Rattus norvegicus: one gene and its partners. The protein of the gene in region 4 purifies or fractionates together with the protein of the main gene of each other region. This does not show direct contact. Links are inferred from orthologs where the notes say so. Each region holds a gene or a part of one and is shown on either strand. Other genes may lie near its edges.

The links.
Region 1: the proteins of Sec13 (region 4) and Nup37 purify together in Homo sapiens (affinity purification with mass spectrometry; 5 studies listed by BioGRID and IntAct, counting the BioPlex papers as one, with this or other methods). This does not show direct contact. The link is inferred for Rattus norvegicus from reciprocal best matches to the Homo sapiens genes SEC13 and NUP37.
Region 2: the proteins of Sec13 (region 4) and Sec16a purify together in Homo sapiens (co-immunoprecipitation; 4 studies listed by BioGRID and IntAct, counting the BioPlex papers as one, with this or other methods). This does not show direct contact. The link is inferred for Rattus norvegicus from reciprocal best matches to the Homo sapiens genes SEC13 and SEC16A.
Region 3: the proteins of Sec13 (region 4) and Klhl12 purify together in Homo sapiens (affinity purification with mass spectrometry; 3 studies listed by BioGRID and IntAct, with this or other methods). This does not show direct contact. The link is inferred for Rattus norvegicus from reciprocal best matches to the Homo sapiens genes SEC13 and KLHL12.
Region 5: the proteins of Sec13 (region 4) and Sec23a fractionate together in Homo sapiens (co-fractionation; 3 studies listed by BioGRID and IntAct, with this or other methods). This does not show direct contact. The link is inferred for Rattus norvegicus from reciprocal best matches to the Homo sapiens genes SEC13 and SEC23A.
Region 6: the proteins of Sec13 (region 4) and Nup133 purify together in Homo sapiens (affinity purification with mass spectrometry; 4 studies listed by BioGRID and IntAct, counting the BioPlex papers as one, with this or other methods). This does not show direct contact. The link is inferred for Rattus norvegicus from reciprocal best matches to the Homo sapiens genes SEC13 and NUP133.
Region 7: the proteins of Sec13 (region 4) and Nup85 purify together in Homo sapiens (affinity purification with mass spectrometry; 5 studies listed by BioGRID and IntAct, counting the BioPlex papers as one, with this or other methods). This does not show direct contact. The link is inferred for Rattus norvegicus from reciprocal best matches to the Homo sapiens genes SEC13 and NUP85.

Annotation. Positions count from the first base shown.
Region 1 is NC_086025.1:24,485,232-24,487,583, forward strand, and holds part of Nup37 (nucleoporin Nup37), read left to right. Parts: intron 1-734; coding exon 735-916; intron 917-1,232; coding exon 1,233-1,283; intron 1,284-2,352. UniProt on the Homo sapiens protein: Component of the Nup107-160 subcomplex of the nuclear pore complex (NPC). The Nup107-160 subcomplex is required for the assembly of a functional NPC.
Region 2 is NC_086021.1:29,655,820-29,659,319, forward strand, and holds part of Sec16a (protein transport protein Sec16A), read right to left. Parts: intron 3,092-3,500; 5' UTR 3,024-3,091; coding exon 1-3,023. UniProt on the Homo sapiens protein: Acts as a molecular scaffold that plays a key role in the organization of the endoplasmic reticulum exit sites (ERES), also known as transitional endoplasmic reticulum (tER).
Region 3 is NC_086031.1:48,453,971-48,458,064, forward strand, and holds the start of Klhl12 (kelch-like protein 12), read left to right. Parts: upstream 1-1,294; 5' UTR 1,295-1,295; coding exon of another isoform or gene 1,296-1,301; coding exon 1,302-1,496; coding exon of another isoform or gene 1,497-1,517; intron 1,518-3,546; exon of another isoform or gene 3,547-3,604; intron 3,605-4,094. UniProt on the Homo sapiens protein: Substrate-specific adapter of a BCR (BTB-CUL3-RBX1) E3 ubiquitin ligase complex that acts as a negative regulator of Wnt signaling pathway and ER-Golgi transport.
Region 4 is NC_086022.1:148,432,844-148,436,735, reverse strand, and holds the end of Sec13 (protein SEC13 homolog), read left to right. Parts: intron 1-420; coding exon 421-554; intron 555-883; coding exon 884-1,007; intron 1,008-1,619; coding exon 1,620-1,766; intron 1,767-3,005; coding exon 3,006-3,119; 3' UTR 3,120-3,392; downstream 3,393-3,892. UniProt on the Homo sapiens protein: Functions as a component of the nuclear pore complex (NPC) and the COPII coat. At the endoplasmic reticulum, SEC13 is involved in the biogenesis of COPII-coated vesicles.
Region 5 is NC_086024.1:82,409,905-82,413,404, reverse strand, and holds part of Sec23a (protein transport protein Sec23A), read left to right. Parts: intron 1-86; coding exon 87-193; intron 194-1,319; coding exon 1,320-1,473; intron 1,474-3,500.
Region 6 is NC_086037.1:68,788,565-68,791,128, forward strand, and holds the end of Nup133 (nuclear pore complex protein Nup133), read right to left. Parts: intron 729-2,564; coding exon 592-728; 3' UTR 501-591; downstream 1-500. UniProt on the Homo sapiens protein: Involved in poly(A)+ RNA transport. Involved in nephrogenesis.
Region 7 is NC_086028.1:101,304,227-101,308,234, forward strand, and holds the start of Nup85 (nuclear pore complex protein Nup85), read left to right. Parts: upstream 1-1,208; 5' UTR 1,209-1,231; coding exon 1,232-1,264; intron 1,265-1,851; coding exon 1,852-1,945; intron 1,946-3,583; coding exon 3,584-3,746; intron 3,747-4,008. UniProt on the Homo sapiens protein: Essential component of the nuclear pore complex (NPC) that seems to be required for NPC assembly and maintenance. As part of the NPC Nup107-160 subcomplex plays a role in RNA export and in tethering NUP96/Nup98 and NUP153 to the nucleus.

The DNA of each region.
Region 1 (2,352 bases), on a different chromosome or scaffold from region 4:
AAGCAAACTCCAAACCATTCAATACCTTAAATACTAGAAGTGAGATTTCTGACGCCACTCCCCCCTTCTTCCACCTCGTCACTGCTACCTCACACTTCTAGATGTCTGCACCTTTAAATCAGCAAAATTAGACGAACCTTCTCAGAAAGAAGGCACTTTACACAGTAGATAAAGATATTCTTTGGATATTAGGGATTAATGCTGTATCCAGCAGAATTGGAGAAATCTTGTCCATTATAAATCATATTGTATGACATGCTTTCATAAGTCTAAGAAACAACTTTCATACTGTAATTTTTTTAATTGGCATTTACTTTATAAATTTTTGAATTTGGTTACATATTTCACATCTTGATAACAATTTATTAAACATTTAAAATTATGGGAAACTTTTTTTTAATTATTGGAATCTTATAAAAAGGAAATAGAGAGGAACTAATAATAGCTACTCTCTCCTAATTTAAGAGTTCAGTATTTACTAGGTGCTTGTCCAAGTCTATAGGTACCTCTGACACTCACTGCTTCATTTCCTATGCGTCTGCCTCTGTGTGTGATATGTGTGTGTGTGTGTATATATATATATATGTATGTATATACACATACATGTGTGTGATATGTGTGTGTATATATACATGTGTGTGATATATGTCTTTATGACATGTAATCTCTGCTTCTTTCTCAAACTTGGCTAACGAGACACATGCGGGCTTTTCTTCTTCCGTCCTGTATTACAGCTAATGGTCGCAGAGAAGAACGGAACAATCCGGTTTTATGATCTAATGGCCCAGCAGGCAATTTTATCTCTTCAGTCAGAACAGACACCATTAATGTCAGCACACTGGTGCTTGAAAAACACCTTCAAAGTTGGTGCTGTTGCAGGAAATGATTGGATTATCTGGGATATCACTCGGTCCAGGTAGTTATGTAGTATGTCTGTCTGTTCTGTTACATAAATATGTTGTCAAATGACCCATTTAGCCATTCTTGTAGACTCCATGTGCAATGAAAACAAGTGTCTCCTGTAGAAAAAGAAGAGATGCTGTCCCTGGAGAGCCCAGAGCGGCTCTAAGCCGTGTCCATTGCTCGCTATTTCCAATTGAGCGCTTGCTTGGAATTTTGTTACAGCTTAAATATATTGGGCTCCAAAAAGAAAACACCTTAAAAACCTTCATTGAAGTTCATCTACTTGAATCTAACACATATTTTGTACAACGTAAACTCTTATTTTTTAGTTATCCTCAAGAGACAAGACCTGTCCACATGGATCGCGCACACTCGTTTAGGTAATGTGCGGTTTCTGCTGCGGTTGTGTGAATCCTTGATTTAGTGTATTCCACGGCCAGGATGACTTCCCTGCCCTCCTCTTTACATAGGACTGTGGGGGATTGGTTTTCCTCTTTTGTCTCTCTGTTGCTTTATAGGGGTTATTTTCTTTTCCCTACTAAGTAGTTGCTTTGTCTTTTGCTTTAGGTAAGCAGGAAATTTATTTTTCAACCACTTAGGAAATGTTTGTAATTCACAGAAACCATGTAGCCAGTCTACCAGTCTACCTCAAGGTCAGGATGGCTTGTGCTGCCTGCCTCCTCCCCTGTGGTGCTCTGTACAAGTGCGCATAGACCTATGTGTGCACACCAAGATCACTAATATGTCTTGAACATGCCAGTTACATGTTATTTTGTTATGTTTTCGTTTTTTATTTGCATTAACATATTTTGGTTTTTGTCATTTTATTCCATTGTATTATCATTAGGCAGCCTTAAATGACAGGAAAAGCAAAAAAAGCTAAGAACAGTGAGACATTTGTAATTTGCTGGTTTTTTTGTTTTATTTTTAAATCATGTCTGAAATATCGCTAGTAAAAATTACCAGGACTTCGTTATTATTAAGAATGAAATATAATCAGTATAGTATTAAAATCCCATAGATTGGGACTACAGAGATGGCTCAGTGGTTAAAGGCCCTGGTTGTTCTTCTAGATGACCCAGGTTCAATTTCCACCACTTGCATGGCAGCTCATGCCTGTCTGTAACTCCAGTTTCAGGGCTTCTAACCCCCTCACACAGACACACATGCAGGCCAAACACCAGTGAATATGAAATAAATTATATATTTATATATTTCCATAGATTATTATGAAATAATCCAAAGTTCAGAGATATGATCAAATATTTTTGAAACCAGTGACTTATGTATGGTTTGTGAGAACTGCAGAGGAGGCCTTCTCATCTCAGCATGTGTTAGCAGCTCTTCTCCTTAAAGCCTCGGCTGAGTGGGGAGACCTGACTTCAAAGCTCCTACCCTGCCCCGCCCTGGGGAGTGCAGACCGGTAGACCCTGGGAGCTCACTGACCTG
Region 2 (3,500 bases), on a different chromosome or scaffold from region 4:
GTTCTACTCAATGTGAAGTCTAGGGCACCGATGGCTTCTTCCGGGTTTCTAGAGTGATACCCCTTATTACTGTTAGGTATCACAGCACTGTTTGCAGGTGGAGCTAGCATCACACTTCCATTAGCAGGGCTATTAACAAACTCAGAAGGACCCTTCTCTGCATTGGGGTGCTGACTTTGAGGAATCTGAGGGGACAGCTGTTGAACCAACCAACTGGCAGGCTGGCTAGCAATCATTTCAGAAGACCCAGAACCTCGAGGGGCACAGTTCTGGGTGACACTGTTAGGCAAAGACGAGCCAGTGACAGTACTGGCTGGAATTGCAGACAAGGCAGCATGTTCTTCATGGTCAGCACCAAGAGCCCGGGTGCTCACCATGGATTTCTCCCCCACCACAGCATCTCCCCAGCACTGATTCTTCTCATTAGGATTCGGTAAGGACACAGAAAAATTAATGGGCTGAGCCAAATTATAGCTTTGATCAGGCTGGGCAATCAGGACAGGTTGATTGTGTAAAGATTCAGTGGGTGGTGAGGACAGCAAACTCGCATAACCAGAACTTGCCTGCAATGGAAGGGCCTCCTCTTCTCCTACCTTGGGAGGGTTCTCAAGGTTCTCAGAAGCACCAGGAGGGTCTTGGTTCTGCAAAGGGGGCACAGACCCTGATTTCCATGACTGCTGTCCAGACATGCCCTTTTCTGGATGATGAACAACCTCTGAAGGTTTTGGTTTTACAGGAACATAAAGTGCAGGGGCAGCAGGGGCTAGAAGGACATTGCCCCCAAAATCTGGCAGTTCGTTTTGTGCCCACAGAGTTGTGGCTGGGCTCTCACATTTCACAGGCCCCTGGGCCCTGGCTGAGGACCTCTTGTCAGGCATGGGGCGCACAGTATCCAAGGGTGGCCCTGCTGTGTGTGAAACCAGTTGCCCAGCCTCTCCAGTGGTGCTAAGAGGCAAAGGGCAGGCCTGAGGTGCACACAGGGTCTCCATGTTGTCTGGTGGCTGTTCCAGGTTTCCTGGGGTGGCATCAGGTGGTAGAACAGCGGCCCCGTGCTTCTGGCAGTTCTGGGTCCCTCTCACTTCAACCACCATGTTGGCACGATCTGCTTCAACTGGTTTCACTCCAACCAAGTGGGATTTTACTGGCTCAAAAGAACTATTTGCACTTGTCTGGAAGACTCCCGTAGGTTTTGGAGGGCTTGGAGTTGAAGGCTGGGACAGGCTGCTGCAGTAATTTTGACTCCTGGTCATCTCATCTGTTTCACCTCCAACCGGAGAAGAATCAATTTGCTTAAAAAAACTCCCTGACGTATCATCTTCGAGTTTTCCAACTTCTTGCTGAATGAATGTGCCCACCAATTCTTGGGGTCTGGCTGACCCAGGAGGACTTCTGTGACTATGGTTGCTGTAGCTGGATGACACACTGTCAGGTCGTGTAGGGTGCAGTGGCATGTCAGGGGCCTCAAGATTTAGCCCTCCTCCTCTAGTGAGGCCCGAAGTAACAGGCCTGGAGGCAGCTGGCCCAGGAAGGGGCCCATATCGAAACTGATCACTCGGGGAAAAGGGATCCACATTCACGGTCTCACGTGGCAAAACTTCTTGATTCTGAACAAATTCTAGGTTCTCTACATTCTCACACTGTGGCCCACTAGCACAGTGGGTCCCAGCACCCGGAATATCACCCCACGCATCATTAGCAGGAGTCATAGTGGTCTGTTTGTCATGACGGATGCCCACAAACTGAGAAAAATAAGGTTGCACATCTCCTTCCTGAGCGGCCTGGTAGACACCACCAGCTCCAGGGAGTGGTGGATGGCCCAGTCTGGAGGTAGAAGAGAAGCTACCCGAGTCTAATCTGTCATCAAGGCCTGCTTTTTCAGATGAGAGATTTTCCTCGTTCTCTGTCTCCTCCCCTTGAAAAAACATTGAGAGCGCTCCGGAGGCTGCTTCTTGCAGGGCATGGTTAGTTGCGGCCACTGGGGGATGGTGCACCTGGTTCTCAGGGCTGTTTCCCTGAGTGAAGGGATTCACATGGGCAGGGTCTAGCAGATGCTCTTTATTAACTCCTGGATTCTGCCTGAACTCCGCGCTTGCCCACATATTCCCAACTCTGGAATTCTGCTCAAAACTGTGTTTAGGGGGGAAGCTACTCGATGGGTAATTTTTACTTTGCTGGTGGACTATCTCATTTCCTTCACCACTGGCCAAGGATGCTGGAGTAAACGTTTGTGGGACACGGGACTCATGGCCAGGTCCCTCGTGTAGACTAGATGGAGAGGGGAAATGGGGCAAGCTGGCAGCCTGGGGCCCCATGTCCTGAACAGGGCCCTCCAGGCAGGGTGAGTGATGATGATAGGAGGGCGGAGGGCCTCCATGCACAGGCCCCCACTGACCTGGCATCTGGGGCTGAGGGAAGAAAGGAGATGCTGCATGGGCCACAGCACCATCATGTGGGGCGTGCCTATTCATGGATTGGTCAGGCCCAGCCCCACTGTCATTCAGATGGCCTCCGTGAGGCTGCTCAGGACCCACTCCTGGAATGTAGTGAGGTGGATGTGGCAGCATCTGGACTTCAGGTCCTGAGCTGGAATCAACCTCAGCACTCCTGTTCACCTCCAGCCCAGGCAATGAAGAAGGGGTAGATGCAGGAGGAAATAGACTGGGGTCTGCTCTAGGCTGTGACAGAGTTCCTGGCAGAGGCTCATGAAGTCCTGTGGAGCTATCCCCAGCATTTGTGGGAGGCACAGGCAAACCAGGCCACTGAGAAAAAACAGGGAGGGCTGGGCCAGGCAAATTAGGTGGGCTGCTTTTGGATGAACTGCCCACTGGTGTGTTTTGAAGAGTCTGTCTGTTAAAAGCAAACGGATCCGTTACTGGCTGCAGTGGGCGTGTTATGGGAGCCACTGGTGCATTATTATTGGCTGGCTTCCTGTAAGGGCTGTTGGCCCAGAACGAGCTTCGAGGATTCCCAGCTGGGGGTGGGCCAGCCACACCAGACGGGACTGCCTGAGGTGGTGGCTGCATGGTGGAGTCTTTCCTGCAGGAGATGCTGCTTATAAAGGAGGCAGGGTAGGTCTTTTCTGTAATTTGTGCTAAAAAAGAAAACAGAAGAGGAACATAAGGCCTATAGTCTCACACTCCTGACTACAATCAATAAAACTCTGAAAATAAAAAGACTAAATGTGATTTCAAATCATTTAAATACAAAGACTTCAGCTCTCCACATCCCACCCCACATTGTCAGGGACAAGCAACAACCCCATTGCCAGTCTGACAGACTACCCGATGCTCCCTAGTCCTTGACACCTCCTTAAGCCACCACTACCACATCCAGAGCCAATTCCAAAAGTAAGAAACATACATAATCATGCGTTTTGTAATGTTAATTTAAAGTCTAGAAGAGTTTACACCTCCTAAAACACAGTTATAAAGTTACTAAACCAAGTGAAACGTTTAAGGTAGTCCTCTGAGAACAGTGAAACAAAGTTGCCTCTGACCACT
Region 3 (4,094 bases), on a different chromosome or scaffold from region 4:
CTAGCAACCACAAGGCCCTGGGTTCGGTTCCCAGCTCCGGAAAAAAAAGAAAAAAAAAAATGAAAGAGCAAAAATCTGAGTGTGGTGGTCTTCTTTGGTTTAATTCGTTGTCGTTGTTGTTGTTTGACACCAGAGTGTCTTTATGGAGCCCAGGCTGGCCTGGAACATGTTATGTAGACCAAGGTGAGCTCCAGCTTGCAGCAATCTACCTCTTTCTCCTGAGTGTTTGGATTGCAGGGAACATACCACTGCACCTGGCTCTGAACTCATGTAGTTAGGTGCATGGTGTTTGCGTATACCTCATGCACACCCCATGTACCTCAAGACAAGTTCTGGATTACTTATGCCTAAAACAGTAAACTTATTGTACTATATTTGTGCTGGCTAGTTCTATGTCAGCATGACACAAGCTGTGGTCCTCTGAGAGGAGGGAGCCTTAATTAAGATGATGCCTACAGAAGATCAGGCTGCAAGCAGTCAAGCTGGTAGGGCATTTTTTGAATCAGTGATTGGCCGGGGAGGGCTTCTTTCACTTTGCCACTCCTGGGCTAGAGGCCTCTGTAAGAAAGTAGACTGAGCTGACTGATTGGTGGTGATGCAAACTTTAATCCCCACACTTGGAAGGCAGAGGAAATCAGATCTCTGAGTTCCAGGCCAGCCTGATCTACACATTGAGTTCCAGGATAGCCAGGGCTACACAAAGAAACCCTATCTAAAAAAAAAGAAAAAAAGTCAAAAAGCAAAGCAAAGGAAGTAGAAAGAAATAAAGGAAATTGAGCAAGTCATGAGGAGCACGTCAGTAAGCTGCACTGACACTGACCCTGCATCATCTCCTACCTCCTGGATATTAGTTCCCACCTCTGCACCTCTCACTGGACTGTGACTCAGGATATGTAAGCAAATAGACCCTTTCCTCCCAAGGTGCTTTTATCACAACAGTGCTAATGCTGAGGTAGTATTCTCTAGGGAAAATTATAAACGCCTGTATACATGTTCAAAATCAGTTCTTTAGTTCTTAATATTTTGTGCTTTGCTTGGTTGAATCCAAAGATATAGAACGTGGAATTTGGAGGAAGAATGAGGTAATGTTTACTGGAGTCGTTGTTGGCCAGATTGTGGTGGTGCCAGGGTCAAAAGTGCTCTCTCTATATTTGTGGAAGTTTGCGGTTAAGGAAGCCCTTTTAGTTCCTTAATTTGTAAAGCTAATTGTGTGTTTGGTTTCCCACTTCTTCATTGTGACCTTTTTTCCCTTGTAGCTGCACTGTCCAAGGGACTTCTTTGTTCTTTCTCCTTAGCGCTTGATGGGCGGCATTATGGCCCCTAAAGACATAATGACAAATACTCACGCCAAGTCCATCCTCAACTCAATGAACTCCCTCAGGAAGAGCAATACCCTCTGTGACGTGACCTTGAGAGTGGAGCAGAAAGACTTCCCTGCCCACCGGATTGTGCTGGCTGCCTGCAGCGATTATTTCTGTGCCATGTTCACTAGTGAGGTAAATGCGAGTCTTTGCTATGTAAGTCAAACTCACATTGTAACTTTGCAGTCCTCCTCTTTCAAGGGACAAAATAGCATGCGTTGGTGATCCAGCTATGACATTGGTAGCCAAGTGGTCACCAGGGTTAATCTTGGGGTTCTGTCTGGGCAGCTCTTTCTTCACTGTCCTGTGTGTGTAAGGGGCTGCTCAATCAAAGGGGATGTTTCCAACACACCATTCTTTGGTCAAAAGTATAGGAGTGTCAGAACTTCCAGACGAGTGCTCAATAAATAAAATATAAATCTGAAACCAGATATAGTGGCTCACACTTAAGGTCCTGACAGCAGGAAGATGGCCATAAATTTGAGGCCATTCTGAGCTACAGAATAACACCCATATAAAAGCATTCAACAATGAAAAAAAATAGTCTGGTAAACCAGTGAACTTATGTAATGTGTTAGTTAATAGGTAGGTTCTGAGTAAGACATGTGTTGGCTTTCTGCTTTAAATCATCAATGATTGTAGAAAATGAGTATTTATGCTACTGGTGCAGATTTCAGGATGACTTCAGATGAGGGGAAGATGGGGTTTAATGAGTGACTGTGCAGTATTGACTTAGCTTGATGTGGTAGACATGTCTGTAATGCCAGCAATTGGGGGGCAGAAACAGGATCAGGGGTTTCTCACCATGGGGCCGGCCTTGAACTCACGGTGAGACCATGTCTCCCGAAAACAAGGGCAGAGGATGCAGCTCAGCTGGTCTAATGCTTGCCCAATATACACAAAGCCACTAGGTTAAGACCATCCTTGCCTCTGTACAGAGTTTTAGGCTATTTGGGGCTATAGGAAACATTGTATCCAAAACCAAAATTACTTTTTAAAAAAAAGGGCCAGCAAGATGGTTCAGCAAGTAAAGATGCTTTCCATCAAACCTCATGGACCAGATAGGGGGAAGGAAGGAACCAACTTGGGGTGTGTGGAACCAACTTGGGGTGTGTGTGTGTGTGTGTGTGTGTGTGTGTGTGTGTGTAGACAGCAGAGCTGTCCTGGAACTCACCCTGTAGACCAGGCCAGCTTTGAACCCACAGATCCGACTGCCTCTCCCTCCCAGGTGCTGAGATTAAAGGGCTACACCACTACCTCCTGGCTTTAAAGCTTCTAAAAAGTAAAACTATTTAAACTAGTCTTTGTAAGTATTTTAGGTTTGAGGCATATGAATAAGTATTGGGTATTTAAACTTCGACATATATCTGAATTATTTCAGCATGCTGGCTTTTTGTTTGTTTGTAAGATTTAAAAAGAGTTCCGTGTATGTGCTGCATGGATTTTATGTCCATCGTATTCAAGGAGTTGCCCGTGGAGTCCATAGGGCACCAGATGCCCCAGAGCTAGAATTCCAATGGTTGTGAGTCACCTGACGTGGGTGTTACAAATGCTTGACCAGTCTCTCCAAGCCTGTGGTTTGCGTATATGTGCATCTGTTTTTTTTTTTTTTTTTTTTTTGGAGCTGGGGACCGAACCCAGGGCCTTGCGCTTCCTAGGTAAGCGCTCTACCACTGAGCTAAATCCCCAGCCCCTGTGCATCTGTTTTTGAGAAAGAATCTTAGCCTGAAATACTTCATCTCTCCGCCTCCAGTACAGAGACTATGGGTGTGAGCCATCGTGCCTGGCTTTGATAAGACTCTTTAAAAAGTATCTCTAAGCACCAGTGTTTTCTTTAGGTAGTGCCCATCACTGTGAGGCTGCAGAGGTGGCTCAGTGGTTAAGAGCACTGGCTGTTCTTCCAGAGGATCGGGGTTCCATTCCCAGCACCCACATTATGGTTCACAACTGTCTAACTTTAGTTCCAAGAGATCTGACACCCTCACACAGAGATACATGCAGACAAAACACCATTGCACATAAGGTAAAAATTTTAAAAAAAGTCCCTGTCAATGTACTGAAGAAGTAGTTGCTGGAGCCAGATAAGAGAGGGAGTGTCGTGATAATAACAGCTATATTTATGGGCCCAGTCACATTGCCATGTTGTCATTTACCCAAGGGGTAAATATGCCATTTCATTTTACAGATGAAAGGTCTCAACAAATGCCTTGCCAAGGTCACATTGCTTAGAGCACCACAGAGAGGTAGGCTCTGCCACTATAGCATATGACTGTAAAAAATAATCCTTAACTCCCATGTTCATCCATAAGGCTGGTACCACAGATCTCTAGCTTGTACTCCCCTTTATGATGTCTGCCCCAAAAACATAGCCATTTAGCTGGGTAGGGAGTGTTGACCAGTGCTGAGCATGAAGTGGACTAAGACTGCTGCTCACACAGTCCTGCTAAAGCAGCGTGTGTCCTGTCTGCTGTCAGGCTGTCTCCTGTCTTGGAGAAAGGCTGTCTACATTGTTTTTTCAACACTGGGGAATTTCTGGAATCTTGGAGGAAAAAAACTCATTTCTTCTCATACATGACTCTTCTTTCTTTCCTTCTTTCCTTCTTTCCTTTTCTAAACAGGGCTTTTCTGCGCCTGTTGTAGACCTCCCCCTGTAGACCAGGCTAGCCTTGACCTCAGAAATCCACCTGCCTCTGCCTCCGCCTCCAGAATGCTGGAATTAAAGGTGTGTGCCAC
Region 4 (3,892 bases):
CTTAAGATTTTTTACTGAGTAGTCTGTTGGTCTAATAATTTGCCTTTAAGGCTAACCCCTACTGTGTATGTGTTGTGTGTACTTGTTAGTAGTATGGGTGTGCATAGGTGTATATATATGCCCAAGGTTGGCAATGTCTTTCCCTTGTTGCTCTTCACATTTTGAGATGGGATCTCTTACTGAATCTGGAGTACATGGATTTGGCTAGGTTGGTTGGCCAGTGGCCTTAAGGAATCTAACTGTCCCATGTCCCCTTATCCTGCCTTCCATGCTAGTATTACATCAGTGCCTGATTCTTACTCATCACATTATCTGTGTGCTGTAATCAAAGTCCTGACAACTGGAGGGAAATCACCAGGAATGAATGGGGAAAAAAAATTTATTGCTATGCATAGCCTCACCAAAGGTTCCCCTCTGCAGATTGGCTGTAATGCTGTCAGTTGGGCCCCAGCTGTTGTGCCTGGAAGCCTTATAGACCAACCATCCGGACAGAAACCCAATTACATCAAGAAGTTTGCATCAGGTGGCTGTGACAATCTCATCAAGTTGTGGAGGTCAGTGAGTTTTGTGGACATTTCTTCAAAGGGACACTTCTTTTCTGCCTGTCATCGCTCAGCTACAGTGTACAAGAAGCAAGATCACCTTTCTTTCTCCCTATCAATAACCATCTGTTTTCAAGTCTGTTAGGACTTCTTTTTCTAAGCATTTTAGTATTCCCCAAACTTTGGAGCTATGGATGAAAGGGCATTTACTGGAGACCTTACGTGCAGCTTAGAATTCTACCCATTGGACTCATTGATGAAACTCGAAAACTGAACCCTTTACCCAAGTTGGGAATATCTGCCTGCTAGCCACTGTATTCCTGCTCTGGTTTCCTCTGCAGGGAAGAGGAGGATGGCCAGTGGAAGGAGGAGCAAAAGCTAGAGGCACACAGTGACTGGGTTCGAGACGTTGCCTGGGCCCCCTCCATTGGCTTGCCCACCAGCACCATTGCCAGCTGCTCTCAGGTCAGCCCCACACCATGAGAACATCCCGTTTCAGCCTTGAGTGAGTTCCTTTCAGTCTGCCTAGAGTGAAAGATACGTAGCAGGCATCTTTTAGACCTGGGCAAAGAACAGAAGGACCGTGTAGGACCAGTGTACATGAGTCTGATGTAGCTTAAGAACTAGTGCCAAGCTTAGAGCCAAGTTTTGGTTCTTCCTGACCCTTACGAAGGAGAGGAATGGAGGTGCCCAGACTTAGTGCCTTGGGTCAACCCTTCCCTTATTTCCTGTCATCACAGGAATGACAAATAAGAGGCAAGGTCTTCAGGTCCATTAGTGATTTTATTGGACATTCTTGTTTGCTCCATCTCTGAGTATGGTTTGTAAGATGGTTAACCGTGTTCATGTGAGAAACACTAGACAGCCAGGAAGAAAAACAGAGTATCTATAGCAGTACCCTGGATTCATCTCTGAAACCACAGAATCCAGACCCGGCCTATTTGTAAGATGTGTTCAGGGTGAAAGGATCTGAAACAGACTCTTTAGTGTGGCTGCTCTCCTTCTCTGCCAATACAGATACCTGCCCCCTGGGGAGAATGCTTGTACCCCCATCTCCTGATGTGTTTCTTTCCCTAGGATGGGCGAGTGTTTATTTGGACTTGTGATGACGCCTCAGGCAATATGTGGTCACCTAAACTCCTACACAAGTTCAATGATGTCGTGTGGCACGTGAGCTGGTCCATCACAGCAAATATCCTGGCTGTGTCAGGTGGAGACAATAAGGTATACCCCATTTCCAGGGGGGCAAGCATATAAGGCCCTAATGGTTTTTCACCTCCTGGCCATGTACAGTAACTGGTTCCATCATAGAGGTAGATCTGAATCATATCTCAGTCTCTTCAACCCTCTGAGGTACTGTGTCCTGTTTGACACAGAAAAGAACTTGGTTGCATAGCTGCAGTATAGCCTGACCTGCAAGGAGAGCCTGGGGCTCTTTCCTAAGCATCAGGAGAGTTCCAGGAACTTTTACCACCTTCTATGTCTCCACCTCCTGCTTCTGCTATGAGCCAAGTGGCCACTGGAAAGACCAACAAAGGGCAGAAAAAGGAGACTAAGGAACACCTCCATATTTTCTCATACTGGTAAATTAGACTTTAAGTATTATGTGTTGACACCGTGCAACTGATCTTCAGAACTCTTAAGCTTGTAAAACAAACTCGGTGCCTATTAACTAGCTTCCTTCACTTACCCACTCTTACTTTCTGGCTGGCTTATCTCATTTACCATTATGGCTTCCCTTTTTTAAGCTAACATGTAAGCAACATTGTCCATTGCTAAGAGATGAGTACAAACATTTCTTCTCACCCTCTGCAGGTAGCCTTTCCTGCTCTGCAGTAATTCCAGGACAGACTTGCAGGCCCGACCTCAAAAGATAGTTATCCTCCTTTATTTCTTTGTACCAGAGTCAGGACCTGATAATTTAAGTTTGCATTCTTGAACAGCCTGCCTTCTCAGGCCATTTCTCACCCTATGTATGAAGTAAGGATCCGACTTCTGTTAACAGGTACAGGTGAGCTGCACAAGGCATATGTCCTTCTGAGGAGCCACAGGCAGGGACAGACCTTTTTAGCTGTTTGCTCTGCAATGGTCCTGCATCTAATAGTTGTGTCCTATCTAATTTGTGCTTTTAACACTTGGTGACAAAGATGGCCTAACCTGGCCTGCTCTCAGCCACATACTTCCTCTCTCACTGTCAACTCTAGTTAATGCATTCCCTGTGGGTGCATTTTGAGCAAGTGTAGTGGAGGTAAATGCTTTTTCCCTTGGCCTCTGTGTTTGTACTGAGGATGAGGCTAAAGAGCAGCAGAACAGGCACAGACCCGTAACTTTTTTTTTTTTTTTTTGGTTCTTTTTTTTCGGAGCTGGGGACCAAACCCAGGGCCTTGCGCTTCCTAGGTAAGCGCTCTACCACTGAGCTAAATCCCCAGCCCCGACCCGTAACTTTTGTGTGCTAACTTGCAGGTGACCCTGTGGAAAGAGTCGGTGGATGGACAGTGGGTGTGCATCAGTGATGTCAACAAGGGCCAGGGTTCTGTGTCAGCCTCCATCACAGAGGGCCAACAGAATGAGCAATGACAACACAGGCAGCCTGGTCTTCCTGTTACCTATTCTGGAACAACCTCCAAACAACTGGGAAGAGTCATCCCACTGCTACCAAGGAGTGCCCACACATGCAGCACTGGGTGTTCACCTGCCTTACTGGGATTCCATGTGTTCAGTAATTTAATGTCCATCTGAAAGTATTCATGTAAGGAACAAATGACTATTATTTTTAAGTATTTTTGGCCATTTTTAACTATCTTTTGGTTCAGGCTGTTTCCAAGGTAATAAAATCATATTGCATAGAAACTTTACTGTCATCCCACAATCTGCCCAAATTGTGCTACAGGCACCACCCAGTATGATAACAGCAGCTCCTCCTGCAAATGGGCAATAGCCCCCTTCTGGGTATACCTACTCCATGGGATTTGGATTGATGACTTCTGCCCTAAACAATGAGATGCTAACAAATGTATACAGGTGACCAACCAGATGCCAGGCAAGGAATTTAACCCAGCCCTGGGCATTCTAACAATACTATGATGGGAAGCCAAAGTTCTGATGCTAACTGACCTTGAGCCATGTACCACCTCCCAGCAGAGGTCTTTGGAACTCTCACCTGAACTAGCAGTCACAAAAACAGCACCACCTACTGAAGCCTGCTGTTTTAGTAGAACTTCATGCTGTATTTCAGGTAAGCAATCTGGCAGAAGAGATAGAGGATTTAGCCACTTAGTAAAGAGAAAGCCAGGATTAGAGTTCTAGCCCACTTCACCCTAAACTTTAGTCTTACCTGCTGCAGAACCAGA
Region 5 (3,500 bases), on a different chromosome or scaffold from region 4:
AGTGGTAGAGTATGTTACTTTTGATACAGTGACATCACCATAGTAGAGTTTGCTTAGTTCTTACTTCTTTCTTTCTATACATGCAGCATAATGCTCCAATTCCCCAAGGAGGGCGAGGTGCAGTCCAGTTCGTGACCCAGTATCAGCACTCAAGTGGGCAGAGACGCATCCGAGTGACCACGATTGCTAGGAAGTAAGCCTTTTCTTTTATTATTATCAGAGATGTAATTTATATATTAAAACTATTTTGGTTATACTCACAAGCTGGGTTTACATTTATGACTAGAAAATAAACATTTGTGATCAAGGGCGTTTTATGTCTTTTAAACCTAGCTTGTTTTGTAAAATAGTCAGTGAGAAATCCTGTCTTCAAAAAACAATATTTTACCAGACTAAGATATCTTTTTTTTAAAAAAAGATTTATTTATTTATTATTTATATATTTATTATATATGAGTACACTGTAGCTGTCGTAAGACACACGAAAAGAGGGCATTGGATCCCATTACAGATGGTTGTGAGCCACCATGTGGTTGCTGGGAATTGAACTCAGGACCTCTGGAAGAGCAATCAGTGCTCTTAACCACTGAGCCATCTCTCTAGCCCCCAGACGAAGATATTTTACTCTTACTATCTGGAAGCATTTTAAAATTGTTGAGTGAAAGAAAATTAAAAATAGAGTAAGGGGCTTAGTCATTGTTTTATTGCTGTGAAGAGACACCATGACCATTTAATTGGGGCTTACTACAGTTCAGAGGTGTAGTCCACTGTCAGCATGGCAGGGAACATGGCAGCACACAGGCAGACATGGTGCTGGGGAAGTGACTGAGAGTTCTAGATCCAGATCCACAGGCAACAGGAAGTGAAAGCCACTGGTTTGACTTACAGCAGCCACCCCTATTGATACACTTCTTCCAACCAAGCCACACAGGAGAGTGTGGGTGGGAGAGCACTCTCAAACAGGCAAAGGGGAGGGAGAGGGCAGACGTGGGATGGGGGTTTGGTGGAGGGTTAACTGGGAAGTGGGTTATCATTTGAGTTGTAAATGAATGGAATGATTAATAAAAAATGACTTATCTTAAATAATATGTACTTTTAGAGTTATTTTAGAAAATGTTTTAAGGTTTGGTTTTGTTTTTAGGAAAATCATTGTAATAAACAACTATTTGTGGTATTTTGGTAATGCTAATTAATGCGTGTGGTATTAGAATCTTGAAGTACTGAGGTGACGTTCTATAGTCTCTAAGTGTAGCTGTGTGTGGAAGCTAACTGTGGTATTATGATATAATTCAATTTTGTTTCTGTGCTTCCTTATTTAGCTGGGCAGATGCTCAAACTCAGATCCAGAACATTGCTGCATCTTTTGACCAGGAAGCAGCTGCCATTCTCATGGCTAGGTTGGCAATATACAGAGCGGAGACAGAGGAAGGGCCAGACGTGCTTAGGTGGTTGGATAGACAGCTCATTCGACTGGTAAGAGCTGACATTGTGCTTTCCTCAGCTTGTCTGTTACAGAACTCACAGTGGGTGGGGAGAGCTGTAGAAGACCTCATTCCGAGTACTGGACTAGCAATGAATAGCAGCCTCCACTCACTTCCGATGTATTAGAAAGCCCTTCCTTAAAATGAATGGTAAATATGCAATTTACTATGTTGGCTTGGATGAAGTTAGTGTGGAAATTAAGTCTATATTGTTGATTCCATGAGTTTTTTTGTTTTGAGACAGGGTCTTTGTATGTAGCCTTGGCTCATCTGGAACTTGCTATTACTGCTTGGCATGTGTTTAGTCTTTACTCAGGCTTTTATTTTCTGTTTTAATTTCAGTGGAATATAACAGCATAGCCTAGGCTGGTCTTAAATTTACTCCCATGTCTTGGGACTCAAGGCTTAAGCAGCTCTTAACACTTCATTTTTTCTTTGTAAACTCCGTCCTGTATGTTTTCATTTACTCTTCAACTTAAATACCTTGTTGAGAATTCTCTGTTAAGCTACTAAACTCTAGAGAGGTGCCTTTACCCTGCCTGTCAGGTGACACGAGTGAACCTGTTTAAAGTTAGCTACTTTTGTAGTACTGTCTAGATTCTTCCCTTGTAAGAGCACTCCCTTTCCCCAACACGTCTTTGTAAAAGAATCAGAGTTGTGGTATTAAGTGAGCTTTAACTTATATAGCCCATCAGTAATGGGACACTGTCAATACAAATGCTGGCACAGCTCCTCCATGGGTTGTTTGATTCTAGATGGGGATAAATATTTATCTCACCAGAGCTACTTCAAAATAACAGGAGAATCTCTTGTAGCCAAAAAGTTTTCTTAACTATTACCACTATCAATAGAAGACTGACACAATCTCAACTTCCCACCCAGCAAAGAAGCTATTTCCAGTTTATTGCACAGACCTCTTAACGTCAGGTGGCATGTACCCAGTGCTTTGATTCAGTGCTCTGCTTGTTTAGTTTTTAAGTTTATTTACGGTTTTTTTTTTTTTTTTTAACGTGTGTGCTTTATCTGCATGTACACATACATGCCAGAAGAGGGCATCAGATCCCTTTATATATGGTTGTGAGCCACCATGTGATGTTGCTGGGAATTGAATTCTAGAAGAACAGCTAGTGTTCCTAACCACTGAGGCATCTCTCTAGCCCCAGTACTTTGTTTTAAATTTAACTTTAAAAAACCTTTTCCTTAGTAAGGGTACCAGTGGAAGGGGAAGCCCTTGGTCCTGCCAAGGCTGGACCCCCAGTGAACGGGATTCTTGGGGGGAGGGTGGTAATGGGGGGAGGATGGGGAGGGGAACACCCATATAGAAGGGGAGGGGAGGGGTTAGGGGGATGTTGGCATGGAAACTGGGAAAGGGAATAACATTTGAAATGTAAATAAGAAATACCCAATTTAATAAAGATGAAAAAAAACCCTTTCTTGTGTTGGGAATTGTACTCAAGGCTCTATCCAGCCAGCACGCTGACTCCTTCGCTCTCCTACTGTGCTCTAAAATAGAAGTGCTTCTATTTCCTGGGTTGCATTTTGCCATAGCATTTTACTGACTGCAGTTTTACATGTTAGTGTTTTCTAGGATGTCAGCAACCATGTGAGCTTTCCATGTGATTAACAAGTTGTGCTCTGAAATAGCTTGCTTCTTGAGCATTTTCATAGAAAATACTTTGTCTTTATAACTGTTCTATTGTTTTGAGGGTCTAAAAGCTGAAGTGTCCAGTGTGTGCACTTGGGCAGTAGCTTTACCTGTAGTACAGTGCTCTTCACATCTTGCTGGAGCGCTTGCATACATAGGTTGTCATGTATGATGCTACAATTTTATAGTGCATGCTGGACCATCAACTGGCATAGAGCCCACTGAACACCTTCTATGGAAAAAAGATTTTTTGTTCTTTGCCCCATGTATTGTGAGAATGAAGACCATTCCCAGCAATCAGACTGTTGACATTCCAGAAAATGTCGACGTCACTCTGAAGGGGCGCACAGTCATTGAAGGGCCCCAGGGGAGCT
Region 6 (2,564 bases), on a different chromosome or scaffold from region 4:
CAGTGTACCACATGCAGAGGGTAATCTCTAATGTTTCCCACACCTCACATCACTCCTGCTGGCCTGCTCTCTCAGACTCATGGCCTCTTTTAATTGTTGACTCAAATACAGACACAACCCGCTCAGTCCATACAACTGTTATGTGCGTGTATATTATTCCAGGGCTGTAAGACAAGACCCTACTATGCTGTCCAGGCTGACTGTGAACTCAGGGTCCAGTGCTGGGATGACAGGTATATGGCTCCAAACCTGGCTCAGTCTCACAACCCTCAAGACAGTAATTGATGTGCACACGAGGCCGCGCTGGAGAGACTGCTGCCTCGGTGGACCAAGGGAAGCTGGAGAAGGGCAGCAACACAGAAACAAGGGCAACTTCGAGTGGAAGAGGAGGAGGCAATACCTTACAGCTGAAAAGGGACATTAGGGTTGCACCTCCTTTTACATCATGCACCCACATAAAGCATGGAAAACCCACTGCCGCAGATAAAACAGACCTCAAGTTGATTAAGAAAAGACCTAAGTTTTTTGGCCTCAATATTTTTTTAATAAGCAAACATTTATACAAATTTTAGAAAACTATTTCTACAAATGTCACATCTGTCCTTGGACATAATACTCATAATTTGCTTTTAGAACAAACTCGAAGTAAGAGTTGGACTTGAGGCTCCCCAGCTGCTCGGCCTGCAGCAGGTCCTTCACCTCTGGTAGATACTCGCTGAGCTGGACGCCTGCAAACAAAAGACATGGTCACTCTGGTCCTGAGATGCCCACGCTGCCCACGCTGTGGCCTCCTCGTCCGGAGCCCTCAGGAGGATGGCAGCTTCTCCAGAGCCCTGCAGGTTCCTATTGGTCAGAGCAGCTTCTCCAGAGGAAATCTTCAGTAGAATCCAAAATTTTCCTTTTTTTCTACAGTTTAAGATATGTCTTTAATGTGTAAGTTTTCAACTAATAGTCATTTCTATGTTGTCCTATTGGGGGACTAATTTAATAGAAACACCATCACAAAGCTGGCCACAGTACTGCAAAGATGTTAAGACTCAACCAGGGAGCCTGTCTTACCAGCACTCAGGATGCTGAAGGAGGAGGATCCCTTGAACCTGAACGCACGCACGCACGCACGCACGCACGCCTACCCACCCACCCAGCATTTTACTATCAGGGTCTCTTTGTTGTCGCTTTGGTTTTTTGAGGCAGGGTTTCTCTGTGTGACAGCCCTGGCAGTCCTGGTCTTGCTCTGTAGACCAGGCTGCTCTTGTACTCACTGAGATTCACTGCTGCTACCTCCTGAGTGCTGGGGTTGAAGGTGAGTACCAGCACATCAGGCCTGGTTTCCTGGTTTTAAATGGGGTACCCCTGAGAGGAGGCACTTGTCACGTTAAAGTGTTCTTGATGTATCCAGCATCGTCTTTTTTTGTATTTGTTATAAGTTGAACAATTCAATATCATCGAAACCCAAAAAGCTTACTGAGCAACTGTGTACCAGGCAGGGGAGGGCATGTTTTATGCAGATTAAATGACACACCTTGCACCATGTGTAGCATGGGGATCGTCTGACTGCCATCCTCAGTCATTCTGCAGGGTCGCTGGAGTCAGGCTCCATTCACTCACTGGATGTTTCAAATACAGCATCTCTGTATCTACCAAGACCTGCCAGACGCAGGCCAGCTGGTCTGCGCACTGCCAGGACCTGGTACCCTGGTGTTGATCTAATAATTCTGTAGGAATCACATCTGCTTCTCTGTGGCCTGCTCTGTCTTCTGTGCCTTCCTGACATTCTGCATTAAGCCCCCAGTATATAAAAGAAAGGGAGGTCTTTTGAGAATCATCTTTCCCAAAGCAGTACAGACGTGGGCCTTTTCCAGCAAATATGATTTTCTCACTGCTTTAGACACAGACATACTCAGTCCTTAGTTTTATATCTTTCTCAAAATATTTATTTATTTCATGTATATGAGTACACTGTCACTGTCTTCAGACACCAGAAGAGGGCATTGGATCCCATTACAGATGGGTGTGAGCCACCATGTGGGCGCTGGGAATCAAATCCAGCTTCTCAGGAACAACAGCAAATGCTCCTATCTGTTTAGCCATCTCTCCAGCCCCAATTTCTAAATTATATTTTCTTTAAGATATATTTATTTAGTCATTTAGAAGTATTTTATATGTATGACTGTTCTGCCTGCAAGTATGAACGTACACCTCATGTGTGCCTGGTACTGAACAGGCAAGGACTTCAGACTCCCCAAGACCAGAGTTACAGACAGCAGGAAGTTACCCTGTGGGGGCTGGGATGGAACCAGAGCTCTTAACCGAAGAACCAGCTCCTACCTACCCTTGCCCTCCTCGTGTGTGTATGAAGGTCGGAGCACGACTTCTAGGAGTTGACTGTTTCCTTCCACCACGTGGGGATGAACTCACGTCCTCAGGCCTGGCGGAAGTCTCTACTGCTGAGATGGCCCAGCAGTCATGTGTGAGCTGGTGACTGTGCCATGTGTGAGCTGGTGACTGTGCCATGTGTGAGCTGGTGACTGTGCCATGTGTGAGCTGGTGACTGTGCCATGTGT
Region 7 (4,008 bases), on a different chromosome or scaffold from region 4:
ATGTGGTTGCTGGCAATTGAACTCAGGACCTCTGGAAGAGCAGTCAGTGTTCCTAACCACTGAGCCATCTCTCTACCTCTTTACTTTTTTTTTTAATTAATTGTTTATTTAGCTCTGATCATATGTGGTAGATTTTGTTTAACTGTACAGTAAATTCAGTCTTTTAAAAATTATTGTATGTATACTGGCTGCATGCATATCTGCATGTCTGTGAACTACATGTGCGCCTCACATCCACAGAGGCCAGAAGAGGGCATCAGAATGCCTGGGATTTTTCCATGTGTATGTGAGTGCTTTGAATTGATCCAGTTACCCGGGAAGAACAGCATATGTGCTTAACCACTGAGCCATCAGTCCAGCTCCCCAAATCATTGATTTCAGTGATTAGGACTTGGATAAAAATTTGACAGAAAGATTTTTCTTTATTTCCTTAATGCCTGGTGGGAGTTTGTTTTCTGAGGCTGGGTTTCACTTAGCCTCACATCAAGTGAGCTCAACCTTGCTACATAGCTAAAGCTGGTTCTGAACTCCGAATTTCTGTCTCTACTTCCCAAGTGCTGCAACTGCCGGTTTAAGCCACCGTGCCCTTCTTTCAAGTCATGTATGCCCAACAATTTAAGGTAGAGGAGGTTTAGAATAATCCTAAGGAAAGAAAAGTGGCCAGTACATAAAAGGTTGAAGTCCTGTTGTTTTGGGGTGTCAATGCCCGCGACCAATTCCAAAGTAAGCGCGTTATACTTGTCGGAGTAAGAGAAAGGGACTGAGAATACTTAATAACAGACCCTGAGGGAGGGATCCCAACTACCGCTAAGAGCTAAAATAGGATTACTGAGGCGGAGTAGCTCTGCAATCCCAAGAGATGCGACAGCAAGGATCTGCGCACGCGCACACCCTCCCAGCCACCTCCTCTCCCGCCATCTCCCGGGGCCTTCCTCTTGCCTAGTGTGGGACTGTCCATGGCGCCGCCTGATCTAGTGGGAACATTCCGTGAGGACCGGTGGCCCCTGGCGACGTTTTCCTGAGGTGTTGTCTAGGTTAGAATAGTAGGAGACGTGTGTAAAGCTGCAGAGGCCTGTGTTTGGCTGAGGCGAAGGGATTTGTTGCGTTGAGATGTGCAGGCGCTTCGGAAGCCGCCCTGATGGGGTCCTCTTTGGCAGCTGGCTGTGAGCGGGAGGCCTGAGCTGAGAACAGCAGCAACGCGGAGGGGTCCCTGCTGCGGGCGCACCGCACTATGGAGGAGCTCGACTGCGAGCCCGCAGTAACTGTAAGGACGCCCGGAGAGGCTTGCTTGTCTCACTGTGAGGGTTACGTTTCTTTGGTCACTTCAGGCTTGCCTCCGTACATGTGGGACGCATGCTTTTTCTCTGGACACAGTTGCCACCATCCAGAATGTCAGATCAACTGGGAACTAGGTTAGGGCGGTGGTGGTCCCTAGGCTTCGGGTCCTGTGAATACTGGCCGGGCCGCGGAGGCCCCACTGCATCATCCCTTGTTTCTCTAACCTTTCTGCTTCTCTAGTTTCTCTCCTTGGGCGTTAGAATGAGCTTGGTGTAAGCTCCACATCGTCGCTCCAAGAGCTCAGTTGGCTTCTTCCTCTGGCTCAAAGCTTAATAAGTGCGTAATTTATTCTCACGAGAGACTATAGACCACTTGTTTCTGTCGCTTTGTATTCTATTCCGCTTACATAGAAATATTTTAAGGTGTGTGTATATGTCTGGATATGTGCACAGAACCGTTGGATACCATCTAGGCTGCCTGCCTGAACTATGGTGTCCGCAATCACACTTGGAAGTTGAATGAAAAGAAAGCCCTAACTAGGGCTAACAGTTCCTATGCCTTCTGTTTTACTAGTGGATTCCAGGTGTGAATTCCAAGAAGAAGCAAATGTGTTTTGACTGGGGCCCAGGGGAGATGCTCCTATGTGAAACTTCCTTCAACAAAACAGGTAGGTAGTTCTTGTTCACTTTTGTCTTGGTACATTTGTTGACTATCAGGGGCAGGAAACTGAAGTCATTTGGCAACATTTTTTTATGTTTGAAACTGTTTTTTGTTATTTTGAGACAAGTTACCCCTATATAGTCCTAGTGGGCTTGTCTTTGTGCAACATATGTGGGATTCGGAAACTACGTCTTCCAACCTCGATGTCCAGAGGGCTGGGATTTGAGGTGTGTCACACAACACAAAGTTTTTTTTGTTTTTTTTTTGTTTTTTTTTTTTTAATTCTGTCGTCTGTGCATGGGAGTTTTGTTTGCATGCCTATTGATGCACCACTTCGTGCTTGGTGCCTGCAGAGGCCAAAAGAGATCCCTGGACTCTAGGAACTAGAACTGTATATTTATGTGAGTTGCCATATGCGAGCTTGGAAGAGCTTGGCTGGAAGAGCTGCCTGTGTACGTCTTGTTTGGTCGTCTTTGGTTTCTTGAGATGGTCTGGCTGTCCTGGAACTGGCTCTAGACCACACTGGTTTTGAGCTCAGAAATTATTTGCCCTTTCTTCCTGAGTGTTAGGAATAAAAATATGAAATTTCAGCCAGTGGTCTTAGTCACCAAACCATCTCTTCAGCACCCTTCCTATAATGGACCTTTAGACACGAGCCATATAGCTCAGCTGTGGTGACGCACACTCGCACACCTTTCATCCCAGTACTCCGCAGACAGAAGCAGGTGGATCTGTGAGTTCAAGGCCTGCCTGATCGACAGAATGAATTCTAGATCAGCCAGGGTTACTCAGAGAAACCTTGTCTTGAAAAACCAAAACCAACCAACCAAACAAACAACAAAAAGAAATGAGTCGGACTGTGTTGCCTGCCCCAGCTGAAGGCAAACTCTTGGGTTCAGGCAATGCTTGCAGTCGTAGAATTTTTACTGTGCAGAATAGTTGACGGAGGATAGAGTGTTCCCGGCTGCCTGAGATACGATGCCGAACCCATTCTCAAAAAACCAAGGACGTAGGCTGTCGCTCAGTGATGGCATGGGCAGCATGGGCATGCCCAGGAGGCTTAGGGAGAAGGATTGCTTAGACTAGGACCCCATCTCAGCTCTCCACTTGAAAAACTCTCCTCTTCCTCTTCCTCCTCCTTCTTATTCCTCTTCTTCCTCCTCCCCTTCCTCCTCCTTCTTATTCCTCTTCCTCCTCTTCCTCTTCCTCTTCTTATTTATTTATTTATTTATTTATTTATTTATTTATTATATATAAGTACAGTGTAGCTGTCTTCAGACACACCAGAAGAGGGCATCAGATCCCATTACAGATGGTTGTGAGCCACCATGTGGTTGCTGGGAATTGAACTCAGGATCTCTGGAAGAGCTGTCAGTGCTCTTAACCACTGACTCATCTCTCCAGCACCCCTCTTCTTCTCTTTTATCATAGACCTGGCTTGCTTGGTCTATTGCATGCACTAGTCTTCTCTTTCATTTTAATCCTCCTGTCTCATTCTTCCTCTTGCTGAGTGTGTAGACATGTGCCCCCCATGCTCAGCCAGTTTTTGTGACTAAAAAATTAGAAATACTGCAGTGTTTTCTCTTTGGGGGAAAATGATAGATGTTAAATTAGTTTTTGTTTCCTTTTTCCTGTTTTGTTGCAGACAAATCAGAGAAGGTCCCGAGCTGCCCCTTTATTTATATCATAAGGAAAGATGTCGATGTTTACTCTCAAATTTTGAGAAAACTCTTCAACGAATCCCATGGAATCTTCGTTGGCCTGCAAAGACTTGAGGAAGAACTGTCCGGGAAATCCAGGAAAGCTCAGTGAGTGGTGGGTGCTGGAGCTCTAATGGAGTCGTGGTGAGAGGCACCCTTATCCTCCTGAGTGGCGGAGCGCCTTGGAGAGGATTCCTGGTCTCCAGGGTGCCTTCCCAGGATGTAGTTGTAGGTTGGGGAAATGCTGTTAGAAGACTCGGTGGCTTGGTATATCAACTCTTCGCTGTGGAGTCCTACTTCATTTGTGTGTGTTCCTTGAACACCACCACCCACCAAAGTAAAAAGAATATAAATAACACGACCAAAGAAG